3 linked regions of the Rhinolophus ferrumequinum genome follow. The protein of the gene in region 2 interacts with the protein of the main gene of each other region in a pairwise test. Links are inferred from orthologs where the notes say so. Each region holds a gene or a part of one and is shown on either strand. Other genes may lie near its edges.

What was found.
Region 1: the proteins of GPR37 (region 2) and PRKN interact in a two-hybrid assay, tested with the Homo sapiens proteins (2 studies listed by BioGRID). The link is inferred for Rhinolophus ferrumequinum from reciprocal best matches to the Homo sapiens genes GPR37 and PRKN.
Region 3: the proteins of GPR37 (region 2) and ADRB2 interact in a protein complementation assay, tested with the Homo sapiens proteins (2 studies listed by BioGRID and IntAct, with this or other methods). The link is inferred for Rhinolophus ferrumequinum from reciprocal best matches to the Homo sapiens genes GPR37 and ADRB2.

Annotation. Positions count from the first base shown.
Region 1 is NC_046286.1:103,100,789-103,112,167, forward strand, and holds the start of PRKN (E3 ubiquitin-protein ligase parkin), read right to left. Parts: upstream 4,327-11,379; 5' UTR 4,181-4,326; coding exon 4,174-4,180; intron 1-4,173. Other genes in the region: PACRG (parkin coregulated gene protein), read left to right, coding at 4,753-4,908. UniProt on the Homo sapiens protein: Functions within a multiprotein E3 ubiquitin ligase complex, catalyzing the covalent attachment of ubiquitin moieties onto substrate proteins. Substrates include SYT11 and VDAC1.
Region 2 is NC_046309.1:20,182,555-20,193,433, reverse strand, and holds the start of GPR37 (prosaposin receptor GPR37), read right to left. Parts: upstream 5,292-10,879; 5' UTR 4,623-5,291; coding exon 3,591-4,622; intron 1-3,590.
Region 3 is NC_046307.1:21,400,711-21,410,764, reverse strand, and holds ADRB2 (beta-2 adrenergic receptor), read right to left. Parts: upstream 4,356-10,054; 5' UTR 4,103-4,355; coding exon 2,849-4,102; 3' UTR 2,714-2,848; downstream 1-2,713. UniProt on the Homo sapiens protein: Beta-adrenergic receptors mediate the catecholamine-induced activation of adenylate cyclase through the action of G proteins. The beta-2-adrenergic receptor binds epinephrine with an approximately 30-fold greater affinity than it does norepinephrine.

The sequences.
Region 1 (11,379 bases), on a different chromosome or scaffold from region 2:
GCATTGAAACTGCTTCCATGAATATGAAGCATTTCAAAGTAAGGAGTTTTGGGGTTGTTTTTTTTTTTTTTTGCATTTTTCAGAGAAGCTTTGGAGGTAGAAATGGATTTGCGTTATCTTAATACAAAGTACTTTCATTGTCACATTTCAAGCAATGAAGCTTTTGAGCTTTCAAAAAAAAAAAAACTGCAGACTTCAAAAAAATCCTTAGATATAGTTCCAAAATTGAAAAAGGCATAGGTCATCATTTGAGAGCCTCTGGACCCAAAGGACTGTATATAATTATGCAAAATATTCTATGCAAATATTTAGTAGAACTTCTTTTGTGACATAATTCTACATCATCATAAACAAAAGCTTTAGAGCCTCCTCTGGGAGTTTATAATGAAGAATGGGTCATTCTTCATCTAAAATTATTGAAATGTCAGGACAAGTAGCAGTACACAGTATATTCAACCAGAAATATAAATTCTGAGACTTTAAAATTCACCTCAACAAGCTTTAAAACAAATATGTAGGTTTGTAGGCAAATAGTAAAGTTAGGCTGCACATTCATGTTGGCAGGGCATTGGTTCCTGTTTTCTTCACTCATGAATCCCTGACACCTGGAGCAGTACTGGAAACATAATAGGTGCTCAATTAATGGATCTGCTTTCTTGAAAATAAAGCATCACAAAATAAGAAATGAGAGGGTTTTCTTTTTCTTCTTAAATTCATTCTAAGAGTTAAAATAGACTGTTTTTCATCTATGAAGGCAAAAATAAAAATATTTTTATAGGACACTGGGGAAATGGGCTCTCTTGTACACACTGTCAGGAAGGTCAGAACCATCCAGGACAGTTGTGTAACTTGTGCATTGCTCAAAGGCACTAAACCTGTGGGGAGAGGGACTAGGAAGAGAGTGGAAATCCATGAGGTGCTCTGGGGAGAATATCTTTCTGTAATTTTTCAGCCAGAGGGGCAAGGCAGCTCTTAGCTACCCTGTTGTGACAGACAGGAGTGTAAAACAGGGCGACTTACTTTAGAACAATTTGGAAATACCTTGCAAAATCCAAAATCTACAAACCCTCTGTCTACAAAACCCACCCAGAAATTGTAATATAAAGTTCTTACTTTACATAAATACATACTAAAGCAAATAAAATGCGAACACAAATATTCCTGATGGTAGCAATTGTCTATAAATTGACTGAATGCTCATTTATTAGAGAGTATTTGCATGCTTTATGTACATCCATAAAATAAAAGACTGGGCAGGAATTACCATGGGGTAAACTTGCATACGCAGATATGTAAGTTTCTAAGAGATGTTAAGTTAAACAAGGTACAGAAGAGACTATGTTCTAATTATTATTTGTTTTAATGAATCAAAAATCTTCTTAAAGAGTAAGAGGTTGAATTCAATACTAGCAACAATGTTGCACATATATCGATGCACTTCAATATCTGATACTACTCAAATACCAGTCCAGTTCTATAGGAGATTTAGAATATACCACAAATATCACCATTAAAATTTAATTTTTAAACACAAAAATTGCTAATTTTTAAAAAGGTTGAAATATATTTTTAACAGAGATGCCAAAAGTTATATTTCCTAAGTTGAATTTTCTTAAGGTTTTTCCATTCTGCTTTATATTATCTTGAAATCCTTCTCCATACTTCTCACAAAGTCATAATTTTTCACTGACTTCAATTAAATTATGTTTCTGTAGCTGTCTGGGTCAGGGCATTTAACATATCAATCATTATCCAAGTGAGAAATGTAAGTGCTTTTGAAACAGTCGCAGTGCCAAGAAGGAAATCTGGGTTTTAAAAAGGAAAAGGAAGGTAATTTTATTGGTAAAGAGGCAATACCTTACTCCTATTTTACCAAGTAACTCATTTCCTCAAAAGTGACCCAAGATTTAAATAAAGTGGAAGAGTACTATCTGCATTAAAGAAGGTATAGCAATTAAAAAGAGCACAGGCATGAAAGGGGCAAGTTCTGAGTAGCACAGGTCTTTAAATAGGAAAAAAAAACAATTCTCAATATATAGTTACATATAATTTGATCTCCAGCTGATCACTGGGTATAAGCTGTAATGCCTTTCCGGGCTCCGAAGTTTAGTCATGGAAACAGAAAACCCATCACTGTAAGACTTCCCTTCAATTGCTTCCATTTTCACTTACCTTTACCACTATTCAACATAACCAGGCCCAAAACGGACAATTAAGATTTTTATTAAAATGTGCCCACCGACAGATTTAGGCAATACAACAAGTTATATAAAATAATTCATTGCACACTGTACTCATGATTGTTATGGGTAAGGTACTTTTTGTAGGCTGGGGCATGGGTTTAATTATTTATGCTGTAAAACACACTTACTTGCACCGCGTGATGAAGAACAGCTGGAGTATGAGAAAGAACATTCTTAAAAATCCACCTTATAGTCTTCATGTCAATGCCAGTTATTGAGAGCTGTCTAATCATCACATCCAAAGATCACTCTTCCCACTTGTGTTCTGAAATCCCGAGTAAAAACTAAACAAAACTACCTAAGCATATTTCATCCGAATAGTTATAGAGCCATTTATTAGATAACAATTTAGAATTTAGTGATGATTTTTAGATCTTAGGTCCCTGTCTTTATATAGCTTTACCATAAATTTATTTCTTTTAAAATTTTCCACGCACTAGTTAAGTTGAATTAAAATAACATTTGCACAACTGTCTTCAAAATAAGGTATACTTTTTTTTCTGTAGAATACTGACAGCAAGGATTTTGAAAAATTTCCTCTACTTGGTTTTGATTCAAATTTGTGCTTACAAGTGGATCTTGTGTAACTGTCACCTAAAAAGACTCAAAAGATTCATTAAAATGTATACATTTTTCTTAACTTGGCAACTTTGAAAAAATCATGCCACGCTAGAAAATTAAGAAAACCTGACAACATCCTTTGGTTTCTATCATCGCTGCAAAGGCAGTGTCGTTAACTGGTGTGATTCACCCAGTAGTAGGTAAAATGTTTTACATGTTAACACTAATTTAATAAATAAAAGACTTAAGAAGCGCTTATCAGTGCATAGAAATCACACATTTAAAAAAATCCACCTCTCATCTTTCTGGATAGACGACATCTGACTTCGAAAGCACTTGTTGTAGTCAAAAGTGTTAAATGGTACGCATCAGGCATGATCTCCAAATAAGCTCATCAAACCGATACATATTCTAGAGCAAGTCTCTGTCACAATAAATTTCCAAATTTATTGGAAATAATAAACCATGGTGGGCACTGAGAAGCAACTTTTCTAACCACACTAAACATTCCCACTAATTTTCAGAGATAACCCTTAAAATAGCATTGGCTTAGCAATCCTGAAATAGAGGAATTTTGCTAATGTTGTACATTGTAGTGTTTATAAACAATTCCAATAGCCACTTCCAAAGCTTTCACCTAGGTCATTTTGTGTTCGAGAAAAAAATAATTTTGCATAATGAATCGTTAATTCATCATGCAAAAAGGTTTACTTGTTGTTATTATTTACTCTTAATTATTCTTTCATCTCAGACCTCCGATGAGAGATTTAAAAGAAAAAATTCGAGGGAACAGAAGTTTAAATCCTTCTGAAGGCATCTCTGATGAGCCCAACCATCATCACCAGGTGCTTTCCATTGGAGTCTAACGCTCCGCTAGGGTTTCCCTTAGAGTCCCACAGACAGTGGGTACAGACTACAACGTCTGTCTGTCCTAAACTGGAAGACAGCCGCCAAGGTGCCCCGAGGGACGGAAAGCGACGGGGGGGGAAGTACTTCCCCGGGGCCTTCCCACGGACCCCCACGGGTCTGGGGGGCAGTGCGCTCGCTGTGGGATCGCGCGACCCTGCCTTCACTTAGGGAGGCGCGCAGGCGCACACCAGGTTCCCTCACAAAGTTGTCTTCACTAGGAAGCCTGTCAAACCAGGGGCGGAGTCGGGGCTTAGAACGACAGACACACTTATTCTGCTGGACGACGGCGGGCATTGGGAAGCTGGCGGCGCTGGCTGAGAACAGCACAGACACTGCCACCCTGCCACTGACAGTTGGCACCGGTGGGCACCCAGGGATCCCCGTTGTCCGAGGCCTGGAGTGGCACCACAGCTGGGCGCATGGCGGCGCAGAGAGGCTGTACCTGACATGCACCACGTACCGATCATGGTCACTGGGCAGATGGAGACTGCTGGGCTGGAAAGGGCCTACGCGCATACTGTCGCCCGCGCGCGCCTCCCACCCGCGGCTCTCTCTCGGAGGTTAAAATATCCAGGACTCCCCTCCCCGAGTCTGGCAGCTGGAACGCACGCGCAGACGGCGCGCAGCCCCGAGCCTTCTGGGAGTTGTAGTTTTAACACAGCTTTTCCTCTCTCGGCTCGCCGCCGGCGGCCAGCCGCCCGCCGCTCTTCCGGTTTAAGGCCCAGAAAACTTTCGTCACGGCGGGGTGCGGCCATTCGGCCTCAGTGTTGACGCGTCGCTTAGTAACCAGGAAATTTAGCTTTGGAAGCTGGTTGTAGCCCCAGCCAAGGTCCAGCCCTCTTCCCGCCCCTCCCCTCCCTTCAACTCCCTTCACCTAGGAGCTGCCAAACACCTGGATCAACCTGGGCACTACGAGGGGTTGAATTTTTACCATTAACGTAATTTTTTACAATTTTTTCCCGACCTCCTTCTCACATCCGTAAAACCCACTGATTCTTTTACCACACGTTTTTATGAGAACCAGACATTTTCTAGGAAGATGGTGGCAGAAAAAGAGACCCTGAGCTTAAACAAATGCCCAGACAAGATGCCGAAGAGGACCAAGCTGCTGGCACAACAGTCGCTCCCGGTGCACCAGCCTCACTCCCTGCTTTCTGAGGGCTTCACAGTCAAAGCCATGATGAAAAACTCGGTCGTAAGTGATCTTCCTGAATTGAATGCCCTCGCTCCGAATCAGGTGACACCAGGTTATAGAGGTTGGCCGGCCCTAGCATGGATTCTGAGCCCGTGCCCTGGGTGGGCTTTGCCAAAAAGCGCCATTACTTGGCCCGTGGCAGACAGTGCCCAACATTGTGTGGAGGTCCAGGCTAGGTTGTTAGAAAGGGTTCGGAGCAAGTGATATGCCCGTTATAAGCACTTTCCTAATAACTCATGGTTTCTAGACCACCCCAAATTACTCTTAAGCTATTTATGATGCAAAAAGACCCCCTTTACTTTACTTACTGATTCCTAAACTAGCCCTACTCAGCAAAGGGCCTGATGGAAGGTGAGTCATTAGCAATCTTAAACTCTTTCGCAAAATTTGACATGTGCTTACGTACAGCTGGGAACATAAACTCGTTAGATAATCTATAGTAAAAAACCTCATCAATTCAACTGAGGAGATATCAGGATATCCTAACATTTACCCTAAGACAATTCTTTCTGACAAAATGGTGTCAGCCTGTTGGAATACTGCAAGGCAACTTAATATGAAGTGTTTTTCCAGACAGACCTTTTAAATAATATTTTTTTTTTAAATGCAAGCTTTAGTTCAGTATCTCTGGCTATTAATACAATGCATATTTCATTTCTATTATTTGTGGTAGTTAAAATATTCTCAGTACTACTAAGGAAAAAAAGGTTTAAAATGTACACAAATGGTTTAGCTACATGTGTGGTAGGTTAAAAAAAAAGTCCTTGGATCTGCTGAACAGCTTTAAATTTGGTATGCTAAACCTGGTTTTACTACTGAGTAAGCACCTATCTGGGAAAGAGATATAAATAATAAATGCAGCTTTCAAATTTGTATAATCTACACTCTGGGAGGCTCTAACATATTGCATAGCAACTCATTATGTTAAATGAATACTATTGCTTTCCAGTGTCACATTATTTGTTTTACATAAATGTTGCAAACCTAATATCTTATTCCTAAACCACATCTTTAGAATACATGAATGGAACAGATTACCTCAGGACCCCTAGGCCAGATTTCCAGGTTGCTACACAAAGTGATGTTCTGGTTATGGAATGTGTGTGAGTTGCTTCACAGTAGTTAAAATTATCGGAAATAGACTAAAGTTCCTGCTTGTTGTACCTGCAGTCATTTTGCATGTATTTCAAAGATGACTATCAGCAATACAGAATACCATAACCGTTCAAGCTAATTATTTGTTTTCTTCTGCATAATATTTATGATTAAAATCTTAGTGACTTTTCAATGTTATATGTTTTTCACAGACGTAAAAAATATTAGTTAGATTCTTTCTTTTTATAAACCTCTGTTCATAATCATGTTTTTAAACATAGCTTTACACTAAAGTCATAGTTCTGGAAAATCAAATATTTCAGTATTGCCAAATGTAATAACTATGCTTACAAGATTAAAAAAAATCTGCTTAACATGAAGCAGCCTTCTTTATAAACAACTTACTTGAGATAAATTATCTTGTTTTCATATTTTTTAGGGAAAATTTCATAGTGTAATATCTATGTAGTGTAATATTCTCTGTTGAAATCTTCAAAATAGGATGGATAATTCTTTCACTTCATTTAGTGGAAATAATAATTTTTAGATGCAAACATTATTCATCCATTCATTCATTCAATCAACAACTCATTTTTCTTTTTAAGCTAAGAACTAGTTAAACACAGTTCTGGGGATTTGGCATCAGCAAAACAAAGCCCCTGTCCTTACTACTCCCAGGAAAAACTACCAACAACAAGAAAATCTTGATAAAAGAAAGATAGACAATACCTTTTATACAAACTAACTTCAATGGTATAGGAAATAAAACCCTTTTCTTTTCCTGTCCAGTATTTATATTTCACCGCTTCTGTCTGCAGCAGTTTAGACCTTTTGGCATTATAAGTCAAAATGCCTGTCGTTTTTGAGGTTTATTTTGATTCAGAAAACAATATGCTGATTTCTCCCTTTTCTTAATTACAACCCCTTGTTCCAAAAGCCAACTCCCAAACCGTTTTTCTAGTGTTGGGTCTTGCCTTCAGTTTCCTCTTCCAAACACTTGCCTGTTAAATAAGTCAGCATTCCAGTGCTCTTCCACAAAAGACATAGAGAACTATACCTTAAGGTGTTATGTGGAGACTCCTGTTGTTTCTTTGCTAGAGCTCTAGTAATATAAGTACACAAACTTGATCATAAACAGATTCAATCATATGAGCTGTGCAAGCAGAAATCCTTCTTTAGAGGCATAATTTATGTACGGCAATGCAAAATTATTTCTAAAATAATAATAAATGTAAATGGCTAGTGTTTTAAATCCCAATGTCAACTGTTGCTCTTCAAGTAGTTCCTTTACTTCCTTGAAATTGTTGTTGCATTCTATATGAAAACAAGCAAGGACAAAAGTTCTGCAGTCAGAGAATAACATCCAAATTCATATTGTTATAATGTTTGCCTGAAAAGAGTGATATGAGATACAGAATTTGATGATTTCACCATTCATTCTCCCTTGAAAGGCCTTGTTTGTGGTGTGCTACAGCCCATATCTAGAGACCGGTAGCTCAATGTTGTACTGGCCTCGTCTCCACAGACAGCAAATGCGTGCTAGGCTAATTAATCTACTTTATGAATAAACAAGTTAGGATATGGACCCAAGGTTATGATACAGAAGCTGACTTCAATTTAATCTTTATATTACTCTTTTCTTTTTCAATAGACCATAGATGTTTTGTGCTCAAAGCTCAGCTGAATGGGAAAAATAATAATTATTAGTTTTCTTATATTGAAACTTTTATACTTACAATCATATAGTCATTCAACACACAGTGGTAATGGTCAATATTTATAAATTACATATTAAGATACTATAACAGATACCAAATAACAATAACTAAGATGGAAGTTGCTTTGCCCACATAAAAGTCCCAATCTGTACACAATCTAGGGAGGTTTGGCCCTGCTTCCCCATGAGGTAGGTCCAGGGACATAGGACGCATGTATGTTCTTGCTTCATATCCTATAGGATGGTGCCCTGGATCCCAGTGGGCTTCCACCACTGGGGCAAATCCCTACTGTCAGGAATTAGGAAAGAGAAAGCAGAGAACTTCTTTTATGGGCATTACCCAGACACTGCACCCCACTTTCATTTACATCCCACTGGACAGAATTTATTCATAGGCCCATATTTTCCCCTTTTTGCAAAAGCCTAGGAGATATTGATGCTTGCAGCAACTCCAGACCTCTATACATGCTCTATCAGGAAAAGGCCTAAGAAATTATGTAGTTCCAAAAGGGCACAATCTCCAACACCTACTTCATGCAGGAAAAAAGGAAAAAATAGGTAAGGAGCAACCTGCAAGAAGAGGCAGGAAGTCATGGAGGCCAAGCAGCTTCCTTTGAAGGGAGGTCCCAGAAGGTACTCGTCACTGCCGCTCACATTCATTGCCAAAACTTCGTCTTATGGCCACCTCCAGTTGCGGAGAGGCTGGGAAATGTAGTCTCTGACTGTTAGCTCTGTGTCCAGCTAAAACCTGAGGCATTTCATTACTGTAATAAAGGGAAGAAGGGAAATTGGGGGATAGTTAGAAGTGTCCTCCACTAGTGCTAAATATTGCTAGTGAAGATAGAGATAAGACAAGTCAAATAATTACAGTACAAATAAATACACATCTATTAATACACAAGACAGTGGAAGTACTGACGATGAAGGGACCAAGTGACAATAGCCTGACTGGAGCCCTCACCACCTTTTGTCTACGTTTTTACATATCATCCAAACTGGTCACTCGACGCCATCCACCTAACGTCTGGCTGCCTCAACCAACTATCATGGATTTTACATGAGGCTAAGTGGATGTGGTACACGTATGTAGCTCATGGCGGTCCGATTTGATCCAGGAATAGAATTCACAATGCCTGTGTGAAGGAGTGTAGACTGTGTGTGTTTTATCTGTGGGGCTCTCAGCTCATTGTAGGACAGGAGCAAGGTGGCTGCCGTCTCATACGGTGTCAGAGGGAGTGTGTGGCACAATGAGAGCAGAGGCCAACGACCTGAACGAGGCTCGGGCTGGGAAAGCTTCCCCGAGAGAATTGTGTTTGCCGAAATACTATTGTATAAGAGACGAGGGAGACCGAGAGGAAGAGGTAGGGGCGGTGGTAAAAGCTCAGAGACAACACAGACCAGGCCTCCGGCAACTTCGGTTTTCTTTCTTCATTTTCTGCTCTCTTTGCCCCAAATTATGTTGTAAATTCCATTATATACGTATCTAATGTTCTTTAAAATGTCTCATAGTCCTTAAATTGTATATGTTTTTATAGAATATATAAGCAAAGTATATAAGTACTTTATGAAGAGTACTATGTACTTAGGTACACGTTTATACAGCTTGCATATTCAGTTTGTGCGTTATGCATAATTATACTTTACATGAAATTTTATGGATTCTTTCTAACATGCTAATATTTTACATGTCATTGCAAACTCCTCATAAGCATTTAAAAGACGTCATAAAATTCTGTCCTCTGAATAGACCATAATTTACTTAGTCATTCACCCAGGATGCTTTCAGTTTTTTGCTATTATACATAATGTTGAAATGAATATTTTTATATACATTTGTTCTTCTGTATTTTGACGTATCTCCTTGAATTACAATTTCTGAAGTAGAATTACCGGGTCAGAGATCTTAAGATTCTGACTGGAATGAGGGTTTCATTTATACGGACACCTGCAGTGCTTGACAGCCATTCTTTTCTCTCCTGCGGCCTGAGGTACTAGGCCTGGGGCTTCTGAGCACCGCAGGCCCTGCCTGCCATCCACCCGCCCACCTGCTGCACATTGAGGGAATCAATATCTCAGCACCTCTGAAACACATTCATGACACATATTAGAAGTAGATTGCAAACATCCAAAGCTGTGGTTCTCAGGTTGCAAATTGAAATCACCTGGAGAGCTTAAAAAATACTGATTCCTGGGTTTCACCTTTCAAGATTCTGATTTAATTGTTCTTATTGTTTTAAAGTTGAACTAATTAGTGTTTCCTAGAGATTCAGAACACTTGGGATAGAGTATTATCCGAAGATCTCAAAAAACTATTTTCCAAATAGCTATTCAATTTTTCCGGAGATATATATAGAGCAATGTTCTATTCCCCACTGATTTGTTGCCCTTTTGTATCATTATACGTAATACTCAGAAATAGTTGAGAGGAATTTTTAACCTGTATAACACAATTTTAATTATTATAACTTGGTAATATGTTTAGAAACTGGTGAGTATAATCTCTCCTGTCAATTCATATACAGAATGTTGATTTTAAATTTTAACTTTTTGCCAGTTTAATCTTCCAAATGACCTTTTAATAATATGCAAAACTGAAATATTCCTTTGTAATTGCAATGATCATATAAATCACTTAGAAAAAAATTCTCACGTTTTAACAGTGTGTTCACTTGTAGTAATATACTTATCATGTTATGTTTAGATTAATATTTTCCCTATAAGTTCATTTATGTTTATTTTATATCCAGCTACCTCATTAGCTCTTTTAAATCTCATAATGTTCTCATTAAATCTCATTTTTTATTTTAATCTTGTTTTTCTACATGTTGAAAAATGCAAATATACAAATAAGTATAGAAAATAATAAAATAGTCATGTATTTATCTAACTTTAATGAATAATATTTCCTTATAATAATACATATTTTTAAAATAAGCTCCTGGTTTTATGGATAAAATAAATCCTTCCTAAACGAGCTATGGCCTCCTTCTTTCTCCATACCTCAATCCTTCCACCCAAGATCCTAAAGTTCACGTGTATCATTCCCAAGTATATCGAAATGCATCTATACATTTTGTGGCGGTGAGTGTGTGTGTGTATGTGTATAATTAAAATTCAGTATTCGTCCTTCGTGTTGCCTTTCCACCTGGGCTATTGTTGCAGTGCATGTTTCTGTAATGCCTTTTCACTCAGATTTCATTCATAAATAGGGGACTGATGTTAGTCTAAGTAGGTTTCCGTGCAGTTTTCCCCATGTTGTTAATAATTTGTGCCACCAAGTAAGCGCTGGATGACAAGTGTTCGCACACAGCTGAGCGCGTCCCGACAGCACAGTTATGCCAAGTATGCAGACAGGACCCGCTCCTCCTGGTGTGTTTGTGCACCTGCTCTGCGAAGCGCTTAATGTGAGGCCAGCCCCATCTTTGTACCTCCTTCCCACCCCTCCTCTCATCCTTTTCTTGAAAGTGGTGTACCTGCAGCACTGTGCTTACTCCAGGATTTCGTTTCCAAAGGTTAGGCATTTACTATTTTAACTCCACTAATAAATTTTTATTAGAATGATTATCAAGTGCTCTGGTTACAAAGTTGCGTAGGTTTTGATGGGCTTCTTAAACTTGTCTTTCCCGCACACCTTGTTGCTTCTAGTGAGTACTTTTGCA
Region 2 (10,879 bases):
TACAATTTTAAAATAACTAAACAATATTAAAAATTTAAACATTAGAAAAGGCAAACAGATTATAATAAAAATGGTAAATCAGACATTATAAATCAGTAAGAGGAGTGTGGTTAAAAAAAAAGGAAGAATAGCCAATACATAAAATAATTATAAGAAAGTGAAGAAAAGGCAAAACCTAGGTATTGAAAGGAGATAAATGTCAAATATTTTTAGAAGTCTTGTGGTTAAGAGGAACAACATTGGGAAGGAGCAAATTTTGAAGAAAGTTTAAACAAATGTAACATATCTGTAATGTCCTTTACCCATATAAAATACTTTGTTATTTTGATAACATAAACTGTACCTATGTAACTTTATTTGATCATTAACATAATTATGGTTGGCACTTTAAAAGTGCAGTTGTCTCAGATTATTGAAAATTTAAAACATTTAATGAGCTACCACCCACTGTGGAACTTACTGTCAATTTATGAAAAGCAAGATAAAACTTAAGAATCTAAGAAGCGATCAATTTCACCATGTAGCAATTGACGCTGATTATTTTTTCCTGCCCGTTGAAAATCCTTTTTAAAAGATGCCAAGGATCAGGAATAAGGAAACACTCACTGAACAACTGTGCCTCATAGATGGTCGTCTAATAAGTAAACATCAAGTGTTGAGACAGAGTCTGGTTGCCGCTGACTACGAGGCTTAGGATGATTATTTCTCTTCTCTGAGCCCCATGTTTCATCTTTAAAATCAGGGGGTTGGATTAGAATGCCATCTGGTTCTACAAGAACACAGCAATTCAGAAGCTACTGTAATGAGGCTGTTTCCCCACCCAGACTGCCTCCCCACAGAAGTCCTTCCTTCGGGAATGAAGAGCTGAGGTCCCCAACCACTGGGACTATTAGTAGTCCACGGCTCTTGCCTGCATCCCTCTCTAGGAAGTGCCCTTGACAAAAAGACCCACCCAGCTCAAGGTTATGCCCCCTTCCTGGGAGTCTCTTGCATCCAGTGTCTGCTCCGTTAGGGGACATAAAGTCTGGGCCCTCTTGCGTTCACTCAGGTTATCCCTGCAGGGTCACCCCAACCTTAGGGCTCCCTATGTCTTTGTGTCTTTGTGGCATGTGCATCACAGTTCAACCCCTTCTGCCCAATCCTGTTTTCTCCATTCCTTACATACCTGACATGGAATAGGCACTAAATCTCTGTGACTTCTGTGGAAATAACAGTGCCTCCTGGAGGCAGAAATGCTTTATTTTGAGATTTGGACTGTATTTCTTGTTCTCATAATCAGGAATCGTGGAGCTGATACTACTCCCCAGTAATTATTTTCACGAAGCAAGCTAAAACATTATAAAATTATTTCAGAAGACTAGGACTAGGCAGGAATGTAGAAACACAGTCTACATTTTAGATTAAAGATTAAGATTTTCATTCCTGACTTGAATGGTAAATAGTATACATTTTAAAATGTATATTACAGTCTAATTTTTCAAGAAAAAAAAATGAGTGAACCTTTTCCCCCCAACCTTTGCTTCTCTAGACAATAAAGCCTGGTAACAATAACTAAAAATTAGGTGTATAAAGAAGGGAATAAAATACAGAGAACAAAACATAAATACAATTGTGCTAATAACAAGAGAAGAGATAAAAACAAAATATTTTTAAGGAGCAGATAATTAAATTGGAAGATGAAACACAAATGAAATTACAGCATACAATATTTTAAAATACTGAGACTTAGAAAGAAAATTAAAGCCCATGCGTAACAAATACCATCACTCAAAACTCATAGGTCTCATTAAACTAAGCAAAGTTTGTATATTCTTTTCTGAATTTGGATGGGATTCTTTTCTTTTAAAGTTGTTTTGAAGAACTTCGGTAATGTTTTTTTTCTTTCCTCAGTTTCCTTTGTCTGTATACTTTATTGTTTTTTCCTCTAATGATAAAGGTTTCTACATATCCGGTACATTTAAGGCACGCCAACACACTCCTCTCTTACTGGGTAACTCTCCTGTTCACTTTGTAGCTTCCTTTGGTCTCTTCCTTGCATATGCCAATTTCTCCTGCATTATTCAAATCATCAGAGAAATTTGAAATTGAAATTGACCTTGAAAAGGTAACTGGTAGACACATATTCTCCAACAAATTCAACTACCTCCTCTGTAATTCAAAAATGAACTGTTTACCAAATAAATTAGATGTTTCAGAACTACTTGGGGCTTGAGAACAAGAGAAATCCTGGATCCTGGTAAAGCTGCAACAGCTGATTTAGCACGCATGGAATCATTCTGCATCTGATCCCTGCCAGGATAACACAGGGTCTTATTCACTGTCTCTTGCCTTGGTCCTTCTGAGTAGGTACTGTTTTCTGTTTACTTATCCCCTAGCTTTAGGCCCTGGAACAAAGTTGAACATAGTGTCACTCGCCCTGGTGCCAGACGGGATCAGAGGCTCTGAAATATTTACAGTTTCCCTTCTTCTGCTTCCATAAATGAAACAGGCAGTCTGAATGGGGGAAATCAAGGGCCAGCTGGCTAAAACCACAACTGGCAACAAAGCACTTGGGCTCCTTCCAAGAGCTGGTGTTTAGAGAGAGGCCATTTAAAGAGCAAATTCCAACGACCGTGATAATGCGGCAGGACACCTGCTATAGCATGAAACAATAAAACTGTACTCAGAAAGAGTTTTGTTTCCCAAGTTTAGAATCTCTGAGATGCCCCCTCTTCTTTAGGAAATTTCTAGTCTTAGAGTCAATCCCTTAAAAGAGCCAATCCTTTACACGCTAACAAATGACATATATCATATACTTTGAGAATGTTAAATAAAGTCTGTGCCATGATGGATAAAGTGTTATTTTTACTTAAGCTCATTCTCACAAAATAAATAAAACTGTTAAGAAATTGAGAACAACAAAGAAACAAGAAATGACATAAGAATTGAGATGGGACAGCCATGGCAGAGAGCCAAAAACACTTAAACTAATTTGGGAGGTTATTAATATATCATGAGACCAACTGACAAAGAAAGGGAGATTTCCTTTGTTAAATAAAATACTATTCTAATTTTGCGTTTAAGAAACAATAGAATAACCTTCTTGGGGGTGAGGGATAACCATGTTGAAGCACTGTAAATCTAGTCTTATAGATAAATGATACAGGTTTTTTCCTTGCTGAGTTCTAATAATGATAACCATGAACTGGCCATTTAGTAACTGGCCATTTATTACAATCTCTGCTAGGTACCAAATCAAAACTATATATGACACTATACTAAGAGAGATAAACTTGAAATCTAAACAATTCTATACATTATGAGATAATTATTTCACAGTCTGGGAAATGTGTTTCAAGGTGACTGAACAAAGATGCCCAGATAGATAGATAGATAGATAGATAGATAGATAGATAGATAGATAGATAGATAGATAGATAGATAGATAGACAGATAGATGCATGAATAACTGGCAAGAAAAATGAAGGAGGGACTCAGAGAACAAGTGAAGGGGCTCAGCAGCCAGCTAGGTGCATGGAGCAGAAGTTCTGAGGCTGTAAGTCCCAGAGGTGTGTAAAGCCAGTAGCTTGAGACTTCCTGGAAGGCATTACCTCGATGTAGGGCACGATCTTGCAGGAGAAGTCCTCCAGCAGCCACTTCTTGGTCAGCTCGTGAAAGATGACGAGTGGGAGGCAGAAGAAGATGATGAGGAAGTCCCAGAAGGCCAGGTTGGCCAACAGGGAGTTGGAGATGCTCCGCATGTAGTAGTTGTGGCACACGATGCACATCACCGCCAGGTTGCCAATGATGCCGGTCCCAAAGATCACCACCGACAAACACATGACCGCGTAGGCTCCGTAGGACTCCTGGGTCAGCGGGTAGAAGGGGTTCTTCAGTCGCAAGCGCCGGTTTGTGCTGTTTCCCCGGCGGGGACCCCCGCGTTCGGGGATCCCTTCACCCGAGGACCCATTCTGGGCCAGTGCCCTGCCGGGGGGTGCAATCATCCGCCTTTCGTGCCCAGACGGTCCATTGACCGTCTTGGGTGGGAGGTCGTGGTGGGAAGCCTGGAGTTTCCCGGCTCTCCTTGGCCAGTAATAAAGGTCGCTGGCTCCGGGTTCTGTCCTCACGCTGGGCTCCTGACTGCGCCCGGAAATGCCACTGCCTCTTGGACCCTTCTCCTCCTCCTCCTCTTCTTTGGTCTGAAGGATGAGTTGAAGAGCCGTGGGGTTCCCTCTCCCCAAAGTTCCAAGGGGTTCCTGACCCCGGGTACCTTTCCACCTCCAGGCGCCTGGAGGCCTGGCTGGGGGACCCGAGGGCTCGGCTGGTGACGCCCCCGCCCCTCTGCTCGCACCTGGGTCAGCTCCGCGGGGGGCCGGTAGGTCCCACGAGGGCGCCACGCGCACTGCTGCCTCCTGCTCGTCTTTCCTGGGCGCACGGGTTAGTAGAAGGTATCCTGCAGAATTCCCTGGTCCCCAAGTGTCCCTGCTGCGACGCTGGTTCAATGTAGGTGAACAGCTATCCCCCAGACAAGTTTCGTTCCTGGGCGCAGGGGCGGACCCGAGGGCAGGAGAGGCAGAAACCTTGAGCAGGAACAGAAGCAGCAGCCGCGAGGTTCGGGCAAGAGGCGCGCCTGGGGTCCGCATGGCTCGGTGAGGGCGCCCGGCAGCCGCGGCTCCTGCTTAAGATCAACACCTGCTGCCAAAGTTGCTGCTGAGAGTTAGACACATGTCACATAGTCACCCCCGCCCCGGCAGCTGCGGACGGGAGATTACGGGGAGGTTGGGGGATGGGTCTTGGGGTCACAACCCTCCTGCTCTACAATCCTTCCTCGTTCGGTGCCCTGTGCATTTCTCAGCCAAATCCAACCTGAGCGCTGCGTATCCCCAAGGTTCAGAAAGGGACTCGCTGCTCCCGGTGGCTGACCTTGAAAAGTTGCAACCAACACCTGACTGATGATTAATGTTGCGACCAAGCCCCGCGCTCCTCCCTGCCCTGGGGTGATGGCCTTCTTGGTAACGGTTGCTCAGCCTGTTTACATCCTTTCGATACTGCTTTCTCCAGCAGAGAGCCGAGGTCGCTAAGGCAAAGAAAAATAAGTTCCCCTCCTTCAGAGGACTAGTAGCTGCAAGCCCGCTCCCCGCTCGCTGAAAACAGGTTGCAAACAGCCAGACGCAGCGCAGATGCGCCCAGGAAACTCTTGCTCCCCTAACCCCAGCGGCTAACGAGGCAACTGCTGCCCAGGAGAAGCGGGGTTCGAAACCCGCGGCCACTGCCAAAGTTGCTTCTCCTCCTGTTCAAAGTTGACCAGGAGCAGCGCGGGCTGCAGGGCTGCGCGTCCCTGCCAAGAAAGGAATCGGTGGTGGGGGTGGGGAGGGCGGGCGGTGCTCCTCAGTGGACAGTGCCGGCGGCCGCAGGAGCTTGTTGTTGCGACAGCGGGCGCTGCCCGGGCGGAGAGTGTGGTGCCTGGAACCGCCGCGGGCGAGGCGGTGCATGGCCGGGGAGGGGGTGGTGGCCTGGCCTCTCCCCGCCACTCCAGCTGCTGTGCGCTCCGGCGACACCAAGCACTCGGCTCCTTGCCTCCTCCCCCTCCTCTGCCTCCTCCGAGAGATGCTGGTTTGTGGGGAGACGGGATCCCCTGGTGGTTTACGACTCACTAATCCCACACACGTTTCATTCAAGCCCTTTGTAGCGGCTTTCCGTCCTAGGAGCTGGAATCCGGGAAGGAACCAGGGTGGAGGTGCGGAGCCTGCGCGGCTCGAGGCTAGGGATGGGCGGGACACGTTAATTCCCCAGATGTCGGAACCAGCCCGACCGGTCCCGGAGCCCGGAGAAGGAGGAGAGACCAGCGATCGCTTCCAATCCGCTGTGGCCGGTGCGCATGCCCAGGCCTCCGGCCCCAGGGAGTAGTAAGGTGAGGCGTTCACCTCCTTAGGTATTCCCAGGAGCTGAGACCAAAGCGAAAGGCAGCTCAGAGGTTTCAGAGAGAATGAGCAGTTCCGAGAGCGGGATGCAAAAGAGAGAATGCTCAGTATACACCATTACCTTTAACGCGGAGTTAGGAAGCGCCCTACCAGGCAGGCGTTCCTTACCGTGTTTCCCGGAAAAAAAGACCTAGCCAGACAATCAGCGATAATGCGTCTGTTGGAACAAAAATTAATATAAGGCCCGGTCTTATTTTACTATAAGACCGGGCCTTCGGGCCTTATATAAAACCGGGTATGGTATAATATAATATAATATAATATAATACAATACAATACAATATAAATACCGGGTCTTATATTAATTTTTGCTTCAAAAGACGCATTAGAGCTGATTGTCCAGGTAGGTCTTATTTTCCAGGAAACACGGTATACCACCATCTATCTGTGCAACTCTTAGCACACAAAGCAGTATAACAAATCCTATGTATTATAAAAGTATAAAATATATGGATGGGAAAATATACTTCATCAACTTCAGAATATTAGTCCCCCTGGGAGACAGAGAGATGGAAATGGAATGGGAGAAAGCTGTGAATGTAATATTTTATTTCTTAAAATGAAAATTCAGGAGGGTATAACCTGGGTTAATTGTGGAACAACAACAAAATGTTGCTAAAATAAAACTGAGGATATTGACTTCCTTGTCACCTCCTTAGTTTCAAGTTTGGGTTATTCATGTAAGCTATTCTCATATCCTTGTTACTCTAGGTCACATTAACATGTCACTAATGTCCATCTCTACCCAGAAAGGATGCCAAGCTCAACAGGGGAAATACCCTTGCCCCCTTCCCGGTGACACCACTGTAACTGACAGGTGCTCGGCCTGAGCTAGGCATCATTCTCAGAGTGGTCAGCTGCAGCACTGAGTCTCCAGTTTGGAGGGTGGCTTAGGAAAGTCCTGGAGGAGGGCTGCCTGTGCTTGTCTGAGAGGTTACCTCCTTATTTACAAGCAGTTCCCTCCTTAGCCTGAACAAAGATGCGTTCCTACTTGGATGGCTGCCATGCTCTGGCTCCTTAAACAAAGATGGATTGTGACCATGAAGAAAAATCAACAGAGTTCCAGCCATCCTGTTGGAGCCTGGGATGATGGTAATTATCTACTTTTTTGGGAAACACAATTTTCTTTATCTGTAAAACAAGGATACTGATATATGCTCTGAAATCCGCCCACTCAAGTTGTTACGATGATCAAGCAGATATGAAAATACTTCATAAATGCACAATATTTGTTGTTGCTTTTAGTAGTTCAACTATTTCTTGCTCTTAGCAAAATTTAAATGCCATCAACAACATACAAGTCTTGAAGGAGATCATGCTTGATAAAAAAGTCTAATGAATTTACTTTCGAAGAAAATTTAGAAAGCATTCACTGCAAAAAGAAAAACAAATGTCTTTCAAATCTTTCCCAAAGCTTATCTCATCTATAAATATAATTTTAAAGTGGGAATTATCCTAGCGTATCTATTTTTGTAATTTCTACTTTAGAAAAATAGATCAGAATATATGTTGGCTAATCACTGTTTGGTTTACATCAAAGGTCATTTATCTGTACAAGAACTGATTTGAACATGGATTTTTCTGTGTCACCCTTCCACAGGGTTTATAACATATAATATTGATTTTTTATATACAAAAGAAAACATGCAAATTATTACCTGTCTTGGCATTTCTAAATAATCTGTTAACTTCATTTAGTGTTTCGTGGGCTGAAATAAGACATATAACAAAGTAAGAGAAATTAGTATTTCAAGTTTTAAGATACATCTTTGAACAGAAGTTTTACTCAGCACCCAACTCACGGCTCAAATAATTTTTCTTTCCTTTTGGCTCCAGAGAATTCAAAAGGACCATTTCCCGAAAAGAAAATTTAACATGCAACCAATAGATTATTTTCTGAGCCTGAAAATGTCTTTCTTTTAAAAAAAAGTTTGTGGTTGCAAACTTCTTCTGTCCCTAAATTGCTAATTGTTAGTTTAGAAGCTTCTACTGACAACCTCTGCCTCATAGATAGAATTAGTGGGAAAAATGGGTCTGTTTGGGATAAAACAACAATATGATATGTGTCTATCTTAAAAATCAAATATCAATATTAAAGTATTCAGAATTTAATATGAAACAACAATCACTAAAATAGTCCTTTATGATAGAAAAAAGGAATGTGTCTGTTGGGCTACATAACATTTGTTTTGACCACTGCACTTTACTGCACAGCCAAGTCTTTTTTCTTTTTTTAAATTGGAAAGGAAGTTGAATGCAAAAAGGGGTAAAATTAAAGATGAATTAACACATGTATAACCATGTATAACGCATGTATAACCAAGCTGGTTCACAGACTGTTTTTTTGGGACTGGCTTCATGAACTCAATACCCTTCCCCGAGCATCCATTGTTAGAGTAGGGAAGGCTTTCATTTAGACTCCCAGATAACCAAGAAGCCAATGACCTCCTCTTGTATTAGGGAGAGGACATACATATGATAATATGACCGAGACCCCTTCCAGTGCTCTACCTTCTTAGGGAGGTGACCCTGATAATTGCATGGTGTCCACAAGAGTGGCTTATAGGCAGTGTAGAGTCAGGTAGGTGTCAGGATTCCAAGATGCTTTTCAGCTCACCGAAGTAAAGACCATAAATTTTTCTATGACAAAACTTCTATTAATGTATCCACTGGACTTCATAAAAGAATTTTATTGATAAAATAAGAGACTTTGGCTGCTAAAAAGAAATTAAAGAACAATAATTCAGTACAACCCTTCATTTTAGAAGGAAACTGCGAAGTAAGGAAACTGGGTGAGTTGTCTCCTCTGTATCATGCAGTGCAGTAGATACTGACCTTGAACTAAAACCCATGTTCTTTGAGAGTAAAGAAGAAGGGTGATCAGTCAGTGGGTCAGAAAGACCTCCTGAAAGAGATGGATGGTAGAAGTTAGTTACTGAAGTAGGAGGAAGAAAAATTCAAGTTACAAGCAGAGGGACTGACTCCAGCAAAGACAGGGAGAAGAGAAAAAGGAAGTGTGTGGAACCAGGAGCAATTCAATGGTGCTAGGAATAATGCACGAGCATTTAAAAAAAAAAAGCTTAATGTTAATTTTATTCAACAATTCTTATCGCTTACCTCCTCTGTGCCAGAAACTGTGCTGTGTGCAAGACATAGAGTGGTGAACAGACCAGCTATGGTCCATCTCCTCAAGGAGCTTACACTGTAAGAGAGAATTCAATCAAGTGAATAGGCATTGAGGGAGAATCGACCATGACCAAGTTAGCTCTAGAATAGAGAAGGTGGGTGGCTTATGAAGAAATACAGAGCTATTTTATGCAGACTGCTCAAGTAGGGTTAAAGTAGATGCTCTTGAAGAAGATAGTTTTACATTGAGCCCTGCAAGTCGATGAGGGCAGCGTGGGGCCAGGGAGAGCTGGACATGAAGAAGAAATTAGGACAGAGCTGAAATTCAACAGGTTGGACTTGCCATGGTGGGGGCCGTCCAGTGTGGCTGGGAACTGAGTTGAAAGTGGAAGTGGGAGAGCAGGTTAGAGAGGCAATAAAGGGACACATGACCCCCTTATGAGGCAGCGAATTTTCGAGAACATCCCCCTGTAGGAGGCCTTACGGAATGCCTGAGGGAGAGATGGGAGTGAATGTAGGTCCAGGAAACTAATCGGAACCAGGATCCATCCTTTGTCTCTGCTTCTTCCTGCCAGTCTCGCTTCTTTCCTTTCTTCCAGGATCCCAGCTTCTTTTGCACTTCAAATATATGATAGAATACACCTGCCAACACGTTCTGCATTTACACATTAAAAACTCAGTCATTAGAGAGAGAAAGATGCTGACTTTCCCCTTTTTAATTCCAGTATCCTGGGAAGGGACTCAGCTTGGCTGGAGGACCATACCTGAATCTCAGATGTGGCCAGAGGGCATGCACACATTGAAATAGCAGACAGCTCCACGGACACCTCAAAGCTATGTTATGCAGAGAAGTGAGTTCACCGAATTGTGGGGACGTTTCCCAGTCTGAGAAGGGATTTTGAACTGGAAAAGTCGTGGGTCTTCAGTGAGTAACAAGGTTGTTTCAATGATTGAAAAGGAAACATACGTGAAACCAGGGTGCATCTGACATCCAGTGGGGATTCAGTAACTGTTATTTAACTCATTTGTTTTAGTTGTTTGAATATCAACAGAGAGATTGACGTTTTTACAAGGATCCCTTGCTTTGCCTTACATCCAGCCACACATACTTTGTTGGGAAGTATGCCCACATAGTTTATTGTCCTAGTCCTGGCTATGTCAAATCGACCAAAGCTTGGCCAATTAGTCCCACGCCTGGAACTTTTCTAACTGGGAAAGAAACAAGAAGATAGGACATGGGAGCCGGTGGCCCCCATATTTCCAAAGAGGATGAAGGCACATAGAAAAGCAACCTGTAGCTAGGAAGACAAATGAAGGAGACGGAAAGAGAAACCCAGCAGAACTACAGACTATGGTTCTGTTCCTGAAATCCAGCTGCTCCTCAGTCATTGGAGTCCATGAGACATTCCAGTGGGTTTCTACTACGTTAGGTTGAATGGTGGCTCATTGACTTGCAATTGAATTTGTCATTGCTAATATTCATTCTCTATCCTCACTTTATTACAGTTTTTGCTATACAAACTGCCGACCTTTAAGAAAAAAACTTGTAAATATCATCATTGCAATGACTTATAATGTACATTTTAAACTTAGTAGAATAACCATAGGTAGAACTTTACACAACAGCAGAATATTGCACAAAATTGTTAAACCATGGAAGTTTTCATACCTAGAGAGATTTCCTCTGTAGCTCGATAAAGGAAGGGAATAAAGAAGGGAAAGTCATATCCCTTTCACACCTCTACCCACTGAATTATCAGAGATCAGCTTGAAACACAGCACTTCTGTGGAGA
Region 3 (10,054 bases), on a different chromosome or scaffold from region 2:
AACTGATCAAAGTTCTTCAAGTATTCCTAAAGGGACATGCCCACGGCTACCCTGCCCGTTAGCTACGAATCTGAAGTAACATTCATGGCTGAACTTTTAACTGAAATGATGTCAGATGCTCTTCTAACCAAAAGAGGACATATACAACATTGTGTATTAATAATATTTATTGTCCATGGGACTTACAAACGAGGAAAGTTTTCAACCTTTTTTTTTTTTTTTTTTTGACATAAGACTATGGGAAATTTCTACCTGGAGTGGTTTGAAATTTCTGACAGGTCATAAAGAGTGAAGGAATCTCCCAGCTTCCTAAATGCTGAGGACATCCTAGGGGATCCTTTTGGGTAAAAGATCACATCTTTCTCTTGTCCCTAGAGCCGATTATTTATTGCCTGAATTTTCTGTTAAGAACCCCAAAGCAATAAAAACATCCACTGAAATGAATTTGTTTTGTGACAGCCCCAGAGAAAAGCCTCCACAATTGAGGGTAAGGGCAGAATTCAGTGAGTGTGTGGTAGAGAGAACGTACCAGCTCCCGCAGGCGCCTCATCTCTGACACCCCTGGCTTCTTACCTTCGGTAGCTCATCCTCCCTCACAGGCTTTTGGTCTCTTCTGATGTCAAATGCTTTCTATGGGCTCTTCCAACTCCAAGATCCCATGAGGCTACAAAGAGTCTGGAGATGAGCTGGAGAAGCTGCCTATATCTTTGGGTGTGGGGCCCAGAGCAGGAGAAGGAGAACATGATAACAGATATGAGAGCCCTTGGAGAAAAAGTGAAAGTACTGAATGGCAGACACTCTTCACCACGGCACATTCCAAAATCATGGACACCTCACTTTCTCCTGAGAGCTCAGGGGTCACCCAGCCACCCATCACTGAGCTGACAGGAAGCAGAAGAGGCCAGTGCTTTTCTGGTTGGGGACCTTGGCTGGGACAGAAGGGAAGAGAAAAGTGGAGTCAGCTTCATGAGCGAGTAATGGCAATGAAGCCTGCAGGCTGATCTCCAGGCTGGCGTTGCCAAGGAGGACGATCCACTCGGTCAGACCTGGGCCAAGCTCTGGCTCAGGCGCACAGGCAAAAATAGAAAGGGGGTGGGAGAAGAAATGTGTTTACTTTTGTGATTTTCCCTCATGGGCTTCTTACCAGCAATATCGTCTCTCCACAAACAGGCAGTAATGGCGCCCAGGCCTGGCCTCCATTGATAAACCCTCCCAAACGATTCACATCTCCCGGTCAGTATCTGGCAGCTGGAAGGTTAAGGTCAGAAGGTAGCAGGATGGAGTGGAAAGAACACGGGTCCCGGCTCTGTCACTAACCGACTGAGTGAACCATGAAAAATCCCTGTCTGAGATGGCAAAATAAAGTGCTTACCTTACACAGAATCTAAAAACCTGCTTAGATTTTTAAATTGTACCTGTGGTTCTCAATCAGGGGCGATTTCACCCCTCAAGGGGTATTTGGCAATGTCTGGAGACATTTTTGGTTGTCACAACTCAGGGGGTGCTACCGGCATCTCATAGGTAGAATCCAGGGATGCTGTTGAACATCTGACAATGCACAGAGCAGCCCCCCCCCACAGAGAATTATCTGGTCCAAATAATAATGCTGAGGTTGAGAAATCTTGGTGTATACTGAAGTGATGGGAGTCAAAGGCGGGGTGGGGGGGGGGACAGAAGTAAAGAAAGAGGAAGAGAGCTAAAACCCTGTGTCTAGGTCTGAGGTGTTCATCAGATAAGTGTTTTCCAGCTTTTCTCCCTCTGACCAATGCCCTTTCAGTTTCCCTTGGAATTACAGGGTGATGTGTAGTAGCTTTTTCACCCGGACGCCTTCCTTAGCCCTCAGATGCCAAGCCCTGATGCAGCACAAAGATCTCCACTAGAAGACATGGCAGAGACATAAGTATAAGCAGCTAATAAGCAAGCAGAATTGGAAGGTGGGTGGTAGGGGTGCATGGAGGGACACAACAGATGCTTGTAACTCCATTTCTATGAGTCAGTGTTTCTGATGTAACAACACAGAATAATCACCATAGGACCAGCGAGATGAGCTAGGCTGGGAGCCGGCAGAACTGACTTAGGGGCCCTAGCGTTAGGAGAGATACAGGTGGGTAGCTGCAGATTCAAAGGCAAATGAAAGGGTTAAGCAATCAGAGCATGTCATTCCTGTGCCATTCCACATTAGGTCACTGCGCAGTTATTACAAATAGTTACCTGCCGTCTCCAGGGGGGGAAGCAACCACACTCCAGTCAAGGGATTTTGGAGAAACAGGTGCAATGAAGTCATGGTCAAACAATTTATTTACTGTAAACTTTAGACTTTGCTCAGGAAAACAACTGAAGCTACCCCTGAAATCCCTGCCTACAACACCCTGTTTCAGCAAATAAGAGGAGCGGGGAGAGTCCATGTTCACAGCTGCAAGGTCCACGAGAGACTCAGGGTCCTCCAGTCCAAGGGTGCAGGAAGGAAGCTGTCCTTCAGATACAAATTACCAGCAGCAATATATTACCCCTAATACTTGACCAATGAGGTAGATACACAGAAAAGTCATCAAAACACAGCAGCCCCAGGTCCTCTGGGACCGAAGCCCTTCAGACATCAACTTGCAAGTTCCATGCAAAGAGGAACCAAACTATACAAGAAACAATCACTCAAATACGTTTTCTCTTTTTTACAGCTTAGAAAAAACAAAACAAAACAAAACAAAACAAAAAAAAACAAAAAAAGGCAGAAGGATGTCCTCCTCCTGCACATCTCTATACAACTTTATTCTAAATGCATTACACTCCAATAATTAAATAGTCTGTGTAGTGTTTTGGGGGGGGGTCCTTAAAAAGTAGAAAAACTGCATTAGAGCAGTGAGTCATTTGTACTACAGTTCCTCCCTTGGGAATCAATGCTATCATTAGGCACAGTACCTGGACGGTTCACAAAGTCTGCCTTGCCTGGGGCATCCTCACACAGCAGTTTGCGGTCTTTCTCCTGTCCCAGGTGATATCCACTCGGCTCCCCTGTGTAGTCAGATCTGTCCTGGCTGTTGGAGCAGCCATTCCCATAGGCCTTCAAAGAAGACCTGCGCAGGCACAGAAGCTCCTGGAAGGCAATCCTGAAATCCGGGCTCCGGCAGTAGATGAGGGGATTGAAAGCCGAGTTGACATAGCCCACCCAGTTTAGGAGGATGTAAACTTCCTTGGGGATGAGGTTATCCTGGATCACATGCACGATGTTGACGATAAAGAAGGGCAGCCAGCACAGCGTGAAAGTGCCCATAATGATGCCCAAAGTCTTCAGGGCTTTGTGTTCCTTCAAGTAGAACTTGGAGGACCTGCGAGGTACGTGCCCGCTCCTCCCATCCTGCTCCACTTGGCTGAGGTTTTGGGCATGGAAGCGGCCCTCAGATTTGTCGATCTTCTGGAGTTGTCTTTTGGCCACCCGGAAGACCCTGGAGTAGACAAAGACCATGACAACCAAGGGCAGGTAGAAGGACACGATGGAAGAGGCAATGGCATAAGCTTGGTTCGTGAAGAAGTCACAGCAGGTCTCCTTGGCATAGCACTCCATGGCTTCTTGGTGCGTGGCCCGGTACCAGTGCATCTGGATGGGTAAGAAGGAGGTAAGACCTGACACAACCCACACCATCAAAATGACCACCCGGGCCTTGTTCTTGGTCAGCAAGCTCTGGTATTTGAAGGGTGTCGTGATGGCAAAGTAGCGATCCACTGCAATCACGCACAGGGTCTCAATGCTGGCCGTGACGCACAACACGTCAATGGAAGTCCAAAACTCACACCAGAAATTGCCAAAAGTCCACATTTTCATGAGGATATGGCTGGCCCCAAAAGGCACCACCGCCAGGCCCATGACCAGGTCCGCACAGGCCAGCGAGGTGATGAAGTAGTTGGTGACCGTCTGCAGACGCTCGAACTTGGCAATGGCTGTAATGACCAGCACGTTTCCAAACACGATGGCCAAGACGATGAGGGACATGACCATGCCCATGCCCACCACCCATGCATCATTCCGCTCCTGCGTGCCGTCTTGGTCCGGCGCATGGCTTCCGTTGGGTGCCAGCAAGAAGACGGTGCGGTTCCCGGGTTGTCCCATGGCGCGCAGGCTGGCAGGTGAGCGCACTGGCTGTTGGCTCACTGGCCGCGCCTCAGAGGGCGGACCTTCGGCAGGGCGCTGCGGGCAGCGAGGGGACGCCTGGAAGCCTCATCCAGCGGCCTGGGAGTGGGTGTGGTAGGGGCGCGTCCTGCACTCAGCTTGTGGGGTGCTCTGGGCTTCAGGTGCCCGTCAATGCCAGCCTGCTATCTGGAGAAGCCGCCTCAGAGTGCGCGCTGCCCGTTATGTGCACAGGACTTTAGAGGAACTGCCTTCCCGGTGACGTGCGGGAACTTTCCGCCAATGACACACGGGCAGCCCCAAAGGGGCGAGGCTCCCTCCCCTTCCCGCCCCTCTCCTCCCTTCTCCCGCCCCTCCTGGGGCTGGCCCGGGCGGAGCCCTCTGCTCCCGGGGCGGGCCACCTCCCCTCCCGCTCATCTGGCTGGGCCAGGAGGGCTGGAGCTGGGGCTGGCGTGCTTACCAGCCAAGCCAGGAACTTTGGGCTCTTCTGTGGCTGCTACCTGTCCGCCTTGGGCGCCTGTGTGGCCTGAGGTCTCAGGACGGAGAGCAGTACATGGGCACTTCCCCATAATCGGAAACAGAGACGAGTGCCCACGGAGACACGCATGGACAGGCACACATGCACCCCAACAGACAAGCTCAGGCTTATACCGACACTGAGACACACCCGTCCAGCGCACCCACAATCACACGCGCGCGCGCACCAAAACCTACAGGCGCAGTCCCTGAACAACACAGAGATAGGGCCAGAAACAAACAGAAGCACCCAGAGCACAAAGGTATGGGCACACGCAGAGAAAGAAGTAAACAACACACAAACGCTCACTTGGAGGCAAGCAGAGCGCCCCATCCAGGTACCCAAACCCTACACCCATGCACCCCGACCTCCACGACACTCACCCCCCGCCCCCGCGAGCGCGCGCGCGCGAACACAAGCATATTCCCTTTCAAACATTTGGCAAGACCACAGGAGGTGACTTCAACAGCTGCCGATTTCCTCAGCACGCTCGCTGTCAAAGTACTTTTGGTGCTCTCCTTGGAAATGTACAGGCATCAAGACACAATTTCACTCTTTGGGTTTCATTTGGAGCTGGGCTGTCTTGTATGTGTTTTGGATAGAAAGAGAAAGTTGTATGCTTTAATTTTTAATTTTGGGGAGTGTGGCATCACTCCCTTATTATTAGTTGAAATGAAAATGTGTTGAAAATGGAATTAATTTTCTTTTTACCCCAAGGCCTTCAGTAATCCCATTACAACTGGAAAAATTATTTCTTTCCTCTTCTAGGAAGTTTGTAGATCTGTTGGATTGAGCCACTTGAAATTGCTGCTATTCTGTGACTCTTGACTTTAAAAAATGGCAATTTCATATGACAGTTTATTAGGAATGTTAACATGAAGGACTTTTGAAGCCACGGAAAGCAAAAGATAATTGTTCCTTAAAAAAAAAAAAAAAATGTCAAACCAGGCCTTCAAACTAGGGTTTTTGTCTATGAAATACTATCCTTTGTATCTGGCATGTGACTTTACTGTTAAAAAGAAATTAACTTCCAGGGTTTGATTTCACATGTATGAGTAGTGTCTTTGAAAAACTGAAAGTATTTCATGCAGGGTAACCAACATACTTTGTAGATTACATAATAACATAACAATGGCTAACGTTTATGGAACATTCTGCCATGTGCTTTTCATGCATTATTTCATTTAATCCTTCCCACAGTCCCATGGTGGGGGGGGGTACTATTTTTAGCTTAATTCACAAATGAGGCTCAAAGAGGAATTTAGCTTGCCCAAGGGCACAGGGTGAGGCAGTGTCAGAAGCAGGAGGTGAATCCAGGTCTGCCTGAGTCAAAAACCCATTTTTTAATCCTTTCAATGTACTGTGTCATCATTCGCAGAAAAGGATGGAGTATAGGGAAAAAGGACTACAACTGGAATTGGAATACCCTAGCTTCAGATCCTCCTGCCTTAGAACTTTACAGCTCTCTTTCCTTAGGCAAATCAAAAAGATGGAGCCTAATTTCCTCCATCTCTAAATGGGTAATAAAGTCACTTCCCTTGAGCTGAGTGAGAATCAAACGATATAATAATAAATGTGAAAGTGTTTTTGCACATATAAATGTCAAGTGTGGGTTATAAATGAAATTTATATAAATTACTCAGTAGTTTAGAATATGTTGTTAGTCTGCTCTAATAGAACAATAAAATACTTTAGGACAAAAGTAACTTGGACTTTTACTCCAAAAGCAAAGCTCAGAAGCAAAAGTTAACCTATATGCCCCCTTTAACTTCCTTCACTTGCAGAAATGGCTTGCAAAGACAGATGCCTTAAAAAACAAATACTTCCCATAAAACCCACAAATATTAAGGATCTATTATGTTCACATAGTTTTCAAAATATACCCACCTCATATTTGTGTGTTCCAAAATTGGCTCTGGTATGATGCATTTTAGGAAGCGGCAGTGTCTGTTATGCAACAACGTTTCTTTAAATATACATCTACCCTGAATTGTAGAATTAAGTCATTTAAAACCTCCTTCCTGTTTGTGAAGCTATGGAATAAATAAGCATATTGTTTAACCTTCCCATAACAAAAAAAGAACAAAGAAAGTCCTTTTATGACAAACACTAATTGATCATTTAGACATACACATAAGTCACTTAAAAATTTAACATGGAATATTTTGGGAAACACCTTTTTAAAAACCCAGGAACACTAAATCAAGAGGGGAAGACGGCTTATGTCAACAAGGATGGTCCAGACCTTTGCCCACCAGCCTTGCAAAATGGACAATTTCTCTGTCTCTGTCCCTCTTTCTCCCTGTCCTGTGTTACCAAGCTGGTAGGAATTTCAACATGTTATCTTCATGCCAAGAGTCTTCTTCAGACCTCCTCTTAGAATTATAGGATTAGAGAGAGTTAGAATGGGAGAGAGTTTCAATAGATCATCTAGTTTATTCCCCCCGCTCCAGTTTGCAAATGAGGAAACTGAAATGTAGAAATAAGAAGTGTCCAGGGGAAGGTGGCAGGGAAGCCCAGGAGTCAGGTCTGCTCCTGCCGTCACATGTTTTCACTGCTCAGTGCTCTACTTTGATTTCTCAGCAGAGGAGTTTGGCTGGCACTGTTTATTGGGCTTGTGGCCTTAGAGAGTTAATGCTTCAGTTAAACTGGAAAGTTCTTAGTAGACTAAATATACCTTTATCTGATGGAAGAAAAAGCAGGCTTTTTAAAATGGTGATTGATAGTGTCTAATTACATATTTTGTCAATCCCTTAAGACATTGATTTGTCATTTCCTGCCTGCCAAACAGGAAAACACACACACACACACACACACACACACACACACACACACACACACACACTTTGATTTACCAAATGAATGTTTGAACAGGAGTGAGGCTCTGTGGTACCAGGGAATGCCCTCACACCAATAGCAGGACGGCTTAGAAAATCTTACCCTGGTCTTGGTTTAGACAACATTCATTCCATCTTCATGATCCTCTGTGCAGAGAAACATTTGTAGATTTCTTTCTAAATGATGGTCTTAAATATCGGTCTTTAATATTTATCTCTGTACGGTATCATCATGTTAAGTTTATATTAAATGAGATTAAATGCATGTAAAGCATTTAGCATGCTGCCTTAGAAGAGGGATAACTGTTACCATCATTATCTTCTTTTGAATCAAAATGTATATATCAAGTACATATTTGTCTTTTCAGATCATATTGTAAAAGGACCCTTTGAACATAGGTAATGAGTAATTTATTTTAAATTTGAATTGCTCCGAAAAAGAATGAAAAAGGGCACAAAGCTTGGTTCCTTAGGAAGAAGAACAATAATGAAAATCGGCATTAACATTGACTTATAGAGCTCGATGGGATGTTAGTGGTATTTGAATGAAGCATCTCACGTCTAGTCAGCTCCTTATACAATAGCACCCGCCAAAACTCTTAGAGAGCCACCTCTAGTGAAAGCAAGCTCACCAGCTCTTTTGTCAGGGTATATTTTTCCAACTCTTCAGATATTGAACTGAACTTTATCTTCTCATAGCGTCTACCCGTGGATCTTAAGTCTGCCCCCTTGAGGCCATTTCAAACAAGTCTCCTCTCTCTTTAACTTTGGGGCGAGTTCCTGAGATTCTTCTGAGCTCTCCTCCTCAGGTTAAATATTCCTTGTTGCCTTGGGTCTGGAGTCTCCTTCGCCATCCATGGGTTTGTCGATGTCCAACCTTAACATCAATACCTGGAATGATCCTAGAACGAGTTATCAAACAAATCAATTTGCAGTTGCCTTGGCAACCATGGAGTAAGCAGAGCAACCAGCAAAGCTTTCAGAACAGCTGATTATACCAGATGAATTTAATTTCCTGCTATGCTAGCGTTTTATGAGAGACATGCTAATAAATTTTTCCGCGTCTCAGGGGGACTGAACAAAGGGAGATGACATTAAATTAACGCAGGAGAGACTTCAGTTGGTCATATGAAAGACTCTTGTCTGAGGAGATTCAATTATTCAAAAGGACTAAACTCTAGTAGCTTTTCTCAGTTAGAGTTTTACAAGGGAATTAAACCACACAGAATAATTGTTTGAGTGACTATTCTTCCCAGTTCTCCCGAGGATGGTACATAGCTATTACCCTATAACTTCATAGAGATGAAGTGATTACATACAATGTAGTGGATGCTTTAGGGCATAGGGCTTAATTCTCTTGCTGAATCTGAGTGGGATTGCTTGGATGGAGTCTCCTTCAGATTTGGGACACATAAAACATACACAATAAAGCGTGTATATTGATGAATGTCTCTTTGTGATGGAAGCACTTTGGCGCAGAGGAGAGAGCATGGATGGAGGTTGGTAGAACTAGGTTCTGGTCCCAGAACAACTATACTGTTATACAGAGGATGCCAAAAAATGTATACACATTTCAAGAGAGGAAAATTGTATTAAAATTGTAATACTCAGTAGATACCAATAACAAAGAATGAATACAAGTCCCGTTTGACTTCTGCAATTATAAGAGGTGCTCAAAGTGGTTACCGTCAGCGTCCAGATAATTCTGATTCAGCAAACTACTGCTTGAGCAACATTGACCAAAGTGTCCACTTGTATTCTTGTTTTTGGCACCCCCAGAATATAACCTTAAAGAAGTCACCTTCTTTCTTTGAGCTTCAATCTTCATCCATGAAATGGGAGTAGGAGTTTGGGCTCAGTAACATCTAAGAGACTTCCTATTCTAAACAGCACTAGCCTATGATGGGAAGGAAGCATGCTGAGGGCCATTGAGGAGATGAGTTCCTGCTCTGAAGAGCTACTGAGGAGTTGGCAAGCAAAAACTGTCAATATCCTACAAAACAACTCAGTTATTGTTTCTCCCTATTTCACCATCGTGATTCCTGCTATTCTGAGTAGCAGGTGTACTGTCATTTACTAAATATTTTTCTTGATGTTGATTTACTTCTAAAACTCAAATACATTTATTTTTAAAGAAAATTTTGTTTTCCTTCCATTACCACATGTGGGAGACTAGTGTCATCTGCCATAAATAGCAGGTAACCATGAGCACGGAACAATGTTAATAAATTCTAGCTAGATTTTGTTGCCTGCCAAAGTTCTGAACCTGAGTCCCTCTCTCTTTTTATTGAAAAGGAAGATTAGTGAGTCCTGGGGAGATAGTAATGGTATTCTAGCACTAACTGGGACTTCTCCATCTATTTTAAAAGACTGAAAGGAAATTGTAAAAGGGACAACTCCTAATTAGTACACTGTTATTTTTAATGTAGTGTTACTGAAGGATTTAAAAGAATTTCTATTATATCTAAAGATATCTCAATCCCAGCCTTGTGTTAATGAGACACATTGCTGTGATAGAAAAAGCATGGGCTTTGGAGCTGGATGGGTCTGGGTTCCAATCCTGGTCCTGTCCTTAACCAG